Linked DNA regions of Rattus norvegicus. The main gene of each other region encodes a partner of the protein of the gene in region 2 in a complex. Links are inferred from orthologs where the notes say so. Each region holds a gene or a part of one and is shown on either strand. Other genes may lie near its edges.

Evidence for each region. The genes of interacting proteins can lie anywhere in the genome.
Region 1: Supv3l1 (region 2) and Pnpt1 share a complex: the UniProt entries of both Homo sapiens proteins name them as parts of the mitochondrial degradosome (mtEXO) complex. The link is inferred for Rattus norvegicus from reciprocal best matches to the Homo sapiens genes SUPV3L1 and PNPT1.

What each region holds. Positions count from the first base shown.
Region 1 is NC_086032.1:107,076,930-107,081,297, forward strand, and holds the start of Pnpt1 (polyribonucleotide nucleotidyltransferase 1, mitochondrial), read left to right. Parts: upstream 1-1,556; 5' UTR 1,557-1,566; coding exon 1,567-1,727; intron 1,728-3,610; coding exon 3,611-3,671; intron 3,672-4,368. UniProt on the Homo sapiens protein: RNA-binding protein implicated in numerous RNA metabolic processes. Catalyzes the phosphorolysis of single-stranded polyribonucleotides processively in the 3'-to-5' direction. Mitochondrial intermembrane factor with RNA-processing exoribonulease activity.
Region 2 is NC_086038.1:30,928,176-30,931,774, reverse strand, and holds part of Supv3l1 (ATP-dependent RNA helicase SUPV3L1, mitochondrial precursor), read left to right. Parts: intron 1-106; coding exon 107-184; intron 185-1,720; coding exon 1,721-1,812; intron 1,813-3,240; coding exon of another isoform or gene 3,241-3,276; intron 3,277-3,583; coding exon 3,584-3,599. UniProt on the Homo sapiens protein: Major helicase player in mitochondrial RNA metabolism. Component of the mitochondrial degradosome (mtEXO) complex, that degrades 3' overhang double-stranded RNA with a 3'-to-5' directionality in an ATP-dependent manner.

The DNA of each region.
Region 1 (4,368 bases), on a different chromosome or scaffold from region 2:
AACTACCCAGTAAGAAAAGAAGTAAAAGAGGTAAAATTTCAGTTATCAGGCAGGGGGGTCACAGGGACACATGAAGGGGAGGAAGATGAAGGAGAATGAAGGAGGAAGCAGATGAAGAGAACAGGAGATCTCCATTCTATGTGATGGACATGTTTGCATGCCTGAATGAACTGTATTTTACCACTCCTCGACTGCTGGAGCAGAAGTAACCAGAAGGAGATTCAAACAGAAAATATTTGGGGAGTGAAGCTAGGAATTAACAGTCTAGCATATAAAAAAAACATAGATTGGGGTAATCCCCCAGTAATTGTGCAAGACCTTATTAAATAATTTATAGGATTCTGACTGGGTTGTTCCAGGGCTACCCGGGACTTATTACTAATGAATAAAGTTTATTAAAATCCATTTACATTCATGAAATTCTCAAAAAATAAAATTTTAAAGTTAAAAAAAAGAATTAGGGCTGGAGGGATGGCTCAGCGGTTAAGAGCACCCGACTACTCTTCCAAAGGTCCTGAGTTCAATTCCCAGCAACCACATGGTGGCTCACAACCATCTGTAAAGAGATCCGATGCCCTCTTCTGGTGTATCTGAAGACAGCTACAGTGTACTTATATATAATAAATGAATAAATCTTTTTAAAAAAAAAGAATTATAGTTCTCTGGGTTTTGTTTTCTTTCTTTTCTTTTCTTTTTTCCCCTCTGATTTCTCATTTGTGCCTCCCCAGTTATCAGACCCAACCAAAATCAAGAAGACCAGGGAGCTGGAGTGTTGTACCTCATAAAGGAGGAAGGGTGGCAAATGCACCGGGGAAATCAGACTTTGAAATACTCAGCACAGAGTTTCCTAGATTGCTTGCATTCAGACTGGCTCTATTTTCGTGTGTGTGTGTGTGTGTGTGTGTGTGTGTGTGTGTGTGTGTGTGTGTGTGTGTGTGTGTGTGTGTGTACACGTGTACGAATGTATGGAGGCCAGAAATTAAAGTAAGGTGTCTTGCTTGATTGCATACCACTTATATATTGAGGTAGGAGCCCTCAGGAAAGTCTAACAAGCCAGGTTGACTCATGAGTTCATTCTCAGCCTCTGAATGCTGGAATTACAGGTGGCTGCTACTAGGGGCATGCCCTTCCATAGGCACAATCCTAGATCTTTAGGTAAGAGCCAAATAATCATGGGTTGTTCAATATTTATTTACTGTTATATATTTATTAAACACGTTGTTCTAAGACTGTCTTTTAAACAGTGATCACACACACACACACACACACACACACACACACACACACATACACGGCCGGAGGGGCGATATTACTTAAAGGGCTTTCTTTAAATCTATAAAATCTATACAATTTAAGGGAGTATTTATTTTTCACTGATAAGAGCAGGAAAAAGCTGACTGAAAAACGCATTCTGGTGGTTTGACCCTCTCGCGTCTACGTAGGAAGCCTGCTAGGATTGCTTTCCCGGCAGTTTTCAGGTTCCACGGAAACGAAACCGCGTCCGGCTCCGCCCACCTGCGGGCTGGCCAATGAGGCACCGCCCGGGCGGTCCGCGCTCTGGGTGTCATGGCGGCTTGCAGGCCGTGCTGCTTGTGCCTGTGTCTCCGACCGCTGAGCTGCGGTCCCCTCGGCCGGCCAAGGCGGCATCGTGCACTCAGCTATTTGCAGGTGCGAGCGCTGTGGAGCGGCACCCGGTCCAGAGCAGTGACTGTGGACTTGGGACACAGGTGAGGAACCGTGTGAGCTCCCGGACTTTTCACGCAGTGTCCTGTTCAGGAAGCCCTGGTAGCCAAAAGTCCCCCGGGTAGGAATCCAGCAGCCTAAGTCTCTTTTAACCTCTCTTCTCCAAACCTAAGGTCGAGATTTCCTTTTCCAGATTTAAAGTCTATCTCCCTGGGCCCTCTCCCTTCCCACGCTAGCCGCTGCCCTTTGCCTCGTATCTTCCTCCTGGCCCTGCAGTGAACTTCCTGAGTCCTATTCTGCCTGTGCCCCTGACGTCCTTTCTCTGTATCTTCCGAGACCTCGAGCTCAGTTGTAAGAAACGTACCACGACCACCTCTAGGTAATGCGCTGTCAGTCCGCGACCCAGCTCCACTGATGGACAGAACCGAGACCAGTGTGAGCCGGAGTTGACCCTGTCTTTTTGTTGAATGCCATTTATAAGATGCACATAGTCCTGTTAAACCTGTAGTGTAGATACAGTTACCGTCCAACAAAAGGTCAAAAACGTAAATTTTTCAGTTATCAAAACAGGGGGTGGGAGATGAATATTTAAATAATTTTTTTAAAAAAATAAAAAGCTTTTCCCTGAAGCTCTACTTTGTGTGGCAGGCAGGCTGCTGCCTGTGTCCTTCCTTGGCATCTCTTTACTCTTACCATCACTGTTCTGCTTGCTCATTGTATCAGTCTTCTTATTTATGTTCATGGAGTATTTAGTTAGGTAGGCATTCACTCACATGGTTTGGCATATGGGAACTTCAAAACTCTTCCACTTATTTCCAAGTGCCCACTCCAAACCAGAGGCTACTATGCAGAATGGGTCATCTATGTATTTGGAGATATTTTATACATATAATGTTGAAAAGTAAATTGTTATAAGGCAAAGTGAACAGCAAAAAGAAAACTCATAAATATAATAGCTTCCTTGGAATAATCAAAATTACATGCTCCCCCCCCCACCCCAGACAAATCTGTCTGCCTTTTTGCATGCATTATCAGAATTCATTGGATAACAATAGATTCACACACTAACAATGTAATTTGCCAGGTAGTTCCATCACTAGTGGTGTTGCTAGATGTCTTTCTATGGGGTCCGGGTGAGGGTGTCATTCTCATTGCTTGGCTGTGTTTGAGGAGTTCTTCTACCCTTTTCATATATCCACGTGTTCACATTATGTTCCCAATATATTTGATAAGTTTAGAGGTCATACCTTTTTACTTTTAGAATTTAGGTATTTATATATCCGTGCCTTGTGGGTGGTTCTAGACAGGAGCTGGTGTACACTTGCAGAACACACATCTTGCCTCTGTATTTGGCCTTTACATGTCATAGCTAAAAAGACATTGTCTAGTCTGAGTTTATGAAGATTTACTTCTCTTTCCCCCCCCCCCCAAGAGTTTTATTTTATTTTATTGCTCTAAAAGGAATAGTATCTATTTTGAGTTTTTTTGTGTGGAGTATGTGACCATCTCAACATCTTTGACTGAAAAAGACTGGTTTTTCCACCATTAAATTGTCATGACAGCACTGTTGAGCATGAAAGTCTTTATTGTTGTTATTAAGTTTTTAAGCTTCAAAATGTTATTCATCAGAAGATGGTCTTTATTAATTTTAACAATTGTTTTAACAGGGAAGAAGAGAAGAGTTTGTGTATTAGGTTTATACAGATGCATTACCTTGGTTCCAATCATCTTTAAGCTCTTAAATATCTATGCTTTTGATGATCACAACTCCAACTTACTTTTTTTTCCTGATTATTGGGACCCTTTCATTCTGGTGTTTTGTTGTTCTTTTGTTTTGTTTTGTTTTCCCCTAGATTCTCCAGTTACTTTTACTAAGCAAAGCCTTGTACTGGTGTCATTTTATATTTTAAAAATTCTTTTTAAACAGAAAATTAGAAATATCCTCTGGAAAACTGGCAAGATTTGCTGATGGCTGTGCTGTGGTACAGGTAGGAAACCAGTCTTTGCTTTATTCATGGTGACTGGGTATCTTTGTAGCATCATAAGTCATCATTGTGGTACTGGGCGCTAGTTCAGACACTACTAAGAATATTTCTAGTGTCAGAACCATGCTAGGCCATCAAAGTCAGTGTTGTGTATATTAAATGACACTTAAATTCTCTTCCAAATTCTGTGGGCTATATTGTAGTCTGTTAAAATCCATTATGCTTTTTCTAGAAAAAGTGTTCTCACTATTATTTTAATTCTTAAAAATTTTTCTTTATAGTCTAAATTTCTTCTTAAAGAGTGAAAAATATGATTCAGTTTGTTGATGTGACTAAGCTGTTAGCCATTTCTTCATGTGAAAACATCAGTGAATATTCTAATACTGACCTTGGTCAGATAGAAAGGATCAAGACTGGACTAGTTGTGGTCACATGAAATGAGAGATCTTTCGTTGAGCCTGGCTTAGTAGTATAAGCATTTAAACCCAGTGCCCTGGACCTCTGTGGGTAGAAGTAGATATCTGTGAGTTTGAGGTCAGCATAGTGAATTTCAGGCCAACCAGGGCTACATAATGAGACATTATTGAGAGACAGACAGAGAAATATCTTCCATTGAGTTTATTTGGTGTGGGGATTCATTCAATTACTGTTTATACTTTAATGTCTGATTTCAAAGAAATTTACTGGTATTTTTGTATAT
Region 2 (3,599 bases):
CTGGTAGAACAGACATGCGTAGTAAGCCCTGATAATGGTGCTGGTTATGGGGACTTGGTGTTGGGGTTTAAGTGACTTCATGGCTCATGGACACTCTTGTTCTAAGATGAAGTGGCTGTGATCGATGAAATCCAGATGATTCGGGACCCAGCCAGAGGATGGGCTTGGACCAGAGCTCTGCTAGGTGAGTGGTCTGCTGCTGCCTCTCTTCTCCAGAAGAGTTCACTTAAAAGTGTTACTTTAACAACAAAGAGTTCTGCTTTTGTGTGTTAGAAAGTTAACATAACCAAATGACCAAAGCAGAAATGTTTGAATCTCTGAGGGTGCAACCCAGTGGGAGAGCACTCTCCTAGCATGGGGGAACCCTGGGCTTAATCCTTAGCACAAAAATAAATAAATAGAGGAAGGAAGGAAGGAAGGAAGGAAGGAAGGGAGGAAGGAAGGAAGGAAGGAAGGAAGGGAGGGAGGGAGGGAGGGAGGAAGGAAGGAAGGAAGGAAGGGAGGGAGGGAGGGAGGGAAGTAATTTTGGGGCTGGGGATGTAGCTCATTTGTAGAGAACTTTCCAGCAGTCCATGCCTGAAGCTCTGGGTCTGATTCCCAGGATCATGTAAACAGGGTCTGTGGAGATGGATATTCTAAATGTTGTCCCATACTTGGGAGGAGGGAGCAGGGCCATCAGGACTTGGGAGGATTATCGTGGACTCACAGCTACTTCAGAGCCAACCCAGGCTACCTTCAGATTCAAAAGGAAAATGAAAGAGGGTGTGTCTAGCTGTAGTCACAGTCACTGCTGATGTCTGATGTGGGTCGTGTCAGCGTTTTTACACACACGGTGTCTAGGGACTTAGAACTTTGTGTTTTGCTTCTTTCCAGCTCTGTTTCACAGCTATTTTTTCATTCTGTGAGCGGATCCTTGTGGGTTTTGTCCACTGAAAAGCCCTACAGCAGTTTGTTTCCTGGGCTGAAACAGTCTCCCCATTACCAGCAGTGCTGCGGTAGAATTGTTGATGGATACAGCTTTTCTCTTGTGGGTTATTTTTAGTTGTTTTGTAAGATGGGGGTCCTAGAACAGGAGTTGTTGGGGCTCACAGGCATGAATGAGTGTGTGTCGCCTGTTTCTTGAAGTGATCCTGTTTCTTCTTTTCTTCTCCCTGACTCCTTCTTTCTTGCTCCCCGACTGCCCCCCCAAACAGGGATTCACTATGTAACCCAGGCTGGCTTTGACCTCTGGGTCCCCCTGCCCCAGCCTCTGAAGCGTTAGGGTTAGAGGCTAGTCCCACCACCCCTGACTTGGAATGATGATGGCTTCGGCACGATGTAGTAGGGCAGGTATTTTCAGACCAAAAACAAATGGCGGAGCCCAGAGTTTGCCTGTCAGACAGTATGTGAAAGTGGACCTGCTCGGGCCAAGGAGCTCGGAGCCTCTGTGCTGGCTCCATGCTACACCTGAAGCGCCTCAGCTTCTGTAGAGTTCCGGTTTGAAGAACACAGGCCCGTGACTAACACCCATCAGTCAGCATCTTAGTGCCGGCATCCAGTCCTGCTTGGCCTCACCTTACAGCGGTGTCAGCTGTGTTCAGAGCAAGTTAAGGCCTGTGCATTGGTAAGGCTGGGCTCTCTCTGCTGTTCAAAGAAGGCCGGAGTCAGAACCTGCAAACACTGGACAGGTACAGGGCTGAGGAAGGGGACGAGCAGTGTAAACCCCTCTATGCACCCACAGGACTCTGTGCTGAGGAAGTCCACCTGTGCGGAGAATCTGCTGCCATTGACCTGGTCACTGAGCTCCTGTACACCACTGGGGAGGAGGTGGAGGTAAGAGACGTCCCTTCCTTCTCTGGGCTGTGCCACAGGGCCGATGATCATGCCTGTGTGCCGCCTTGTCAGCTCCAGCCTGTCACAGTCAGAGCTGAGCTGTGGAGGGAGCACACATGAACAAAGCAGTGTGTGTGGGGGCGGCATAAGGAGCCTGCTTGCGGGCCGTCTGAAAGAGCAGTTTTAGTTTTTAAGACATTAAAAACAGAGCTTAGCAAAAAGGAAGTCTTTTTTTCCTCATAGCTGACTGGCTCATATACATATAGTTGAGCTTCATGTGGGAGATAGTTCATTTCCACAAGATTCCTTGTTTGTTTGTTTTGGGAGCTGAGGCTGTTTTTTGTTCTTGAGATGTATTCTCACTGTGTACCCCAGGCTGTCCTCAAATTCACAGCAGTCTCCTGCCATGCCTCCTGAGTGCTGGGATTATGGGAAAGCTGTCAGACTCAGCTTTCAAGCTTCCATTTTCTCAAAAGTCTTAGTCTACTTATTTGTGGTGCTGGGAATCCAACCAAGGACCGTAGGCATCTCTGTCTACACTGAGCGGCACCCACAGCTCATGAGCGAGTGTCCTCAGGACTAAGTCAGACCGCGAGTGTGCATTGTGCTCAGTGTTGCGTATCACACGGTGGGGCCTTTGCTCTTTCTCTCATTGTCAGCCCTAGTTTGCGTCCCTTTTGCAGACAGGAAGTTACAGTTAAGAAACTGGTTTCCTCCAAAAACTATCCTTATTTGCCTTCCCAGAATTCCTCAGTGGGAGAGTAGAATTGTTTTCTCATTGCTGTGACAAGGTAGATGAGGTAGCTGTGGAGGGAAGGAAGGACGGCAGGAAGGAAGGAAGGAACAACAAACAGCCTCCTTACAGTTTCGGGGTTAGAAGCAGATCAGCTAACACTGGTGCTTGGCTAGCTCTGCTTTTTATTGTCTCAGAACCCCAGCCAGGGGGTGGTGTTACCCACATTTAAGGTGGGTCTCTCCTGCTGTTAAACCTTTAGGAAAGATTCTCATATGGCACATCCAGAGTCTCTAAGTCCAGTCTGCCTGACAGTGAAGGTTAGCCTGCTTCTACAGAAATGAAGAAATGTGTTGGGCTGGAGAGATGGCTCAGTGGTTAAGAGCACCGACTGCTCTTCCAGAGGTCCTGAGTTCAAATCCCAGCAGATGGTTGTGAGCCACCATGTGGTTGCTGGGATTTGAACTCAGGACCTCTGGAAGAGCAGTCGGTGCTCTTAACCACTGAGCCATCTCTCCAGTCCCACTTATAAATCTTATAAAAACACTTCAGATGGTTAAGGTGTCTGGAATGACTAATTTAAAAAAGAAATGTCTTAAGTTGACCTGTTGCAGTCTCATGCTTTACTTGGAGGAAGATTGAACAGTGTGCAGTGGGAGAAATTCTGGATTCAAATCTTGGACTTTGCTGCTTAGGGCCCTGTCTGTGGCAAACCACAGAAGCCTGAAGAGGTGAGCCTCTGGCCTCGCTTTCACTGGACTATTTTACTCTGTCATAAAATGAAAATATTAGTAATAATCTTTAGAAGCTGCTACTCTGCCCTGAAAAATCAGTGTTTGTTAAAGTTCTTTAAGGATGTCACACAGTAATATTAACTCAGGGTGCCAAGAATTGACGGTAGCACAGCCTCCATCAATCGAATGAAGGTTTCTAGGTGCCTCCTGACTGTTGCTGCTTCACTGCTCCAGTGGAGTTTTCTCGGAGCAGTCCCTGTGCTGACTTGAGGGTGTCACTCTTCCACATCTGTCTTTACTGCAGGTTCAGAAGTACGAGA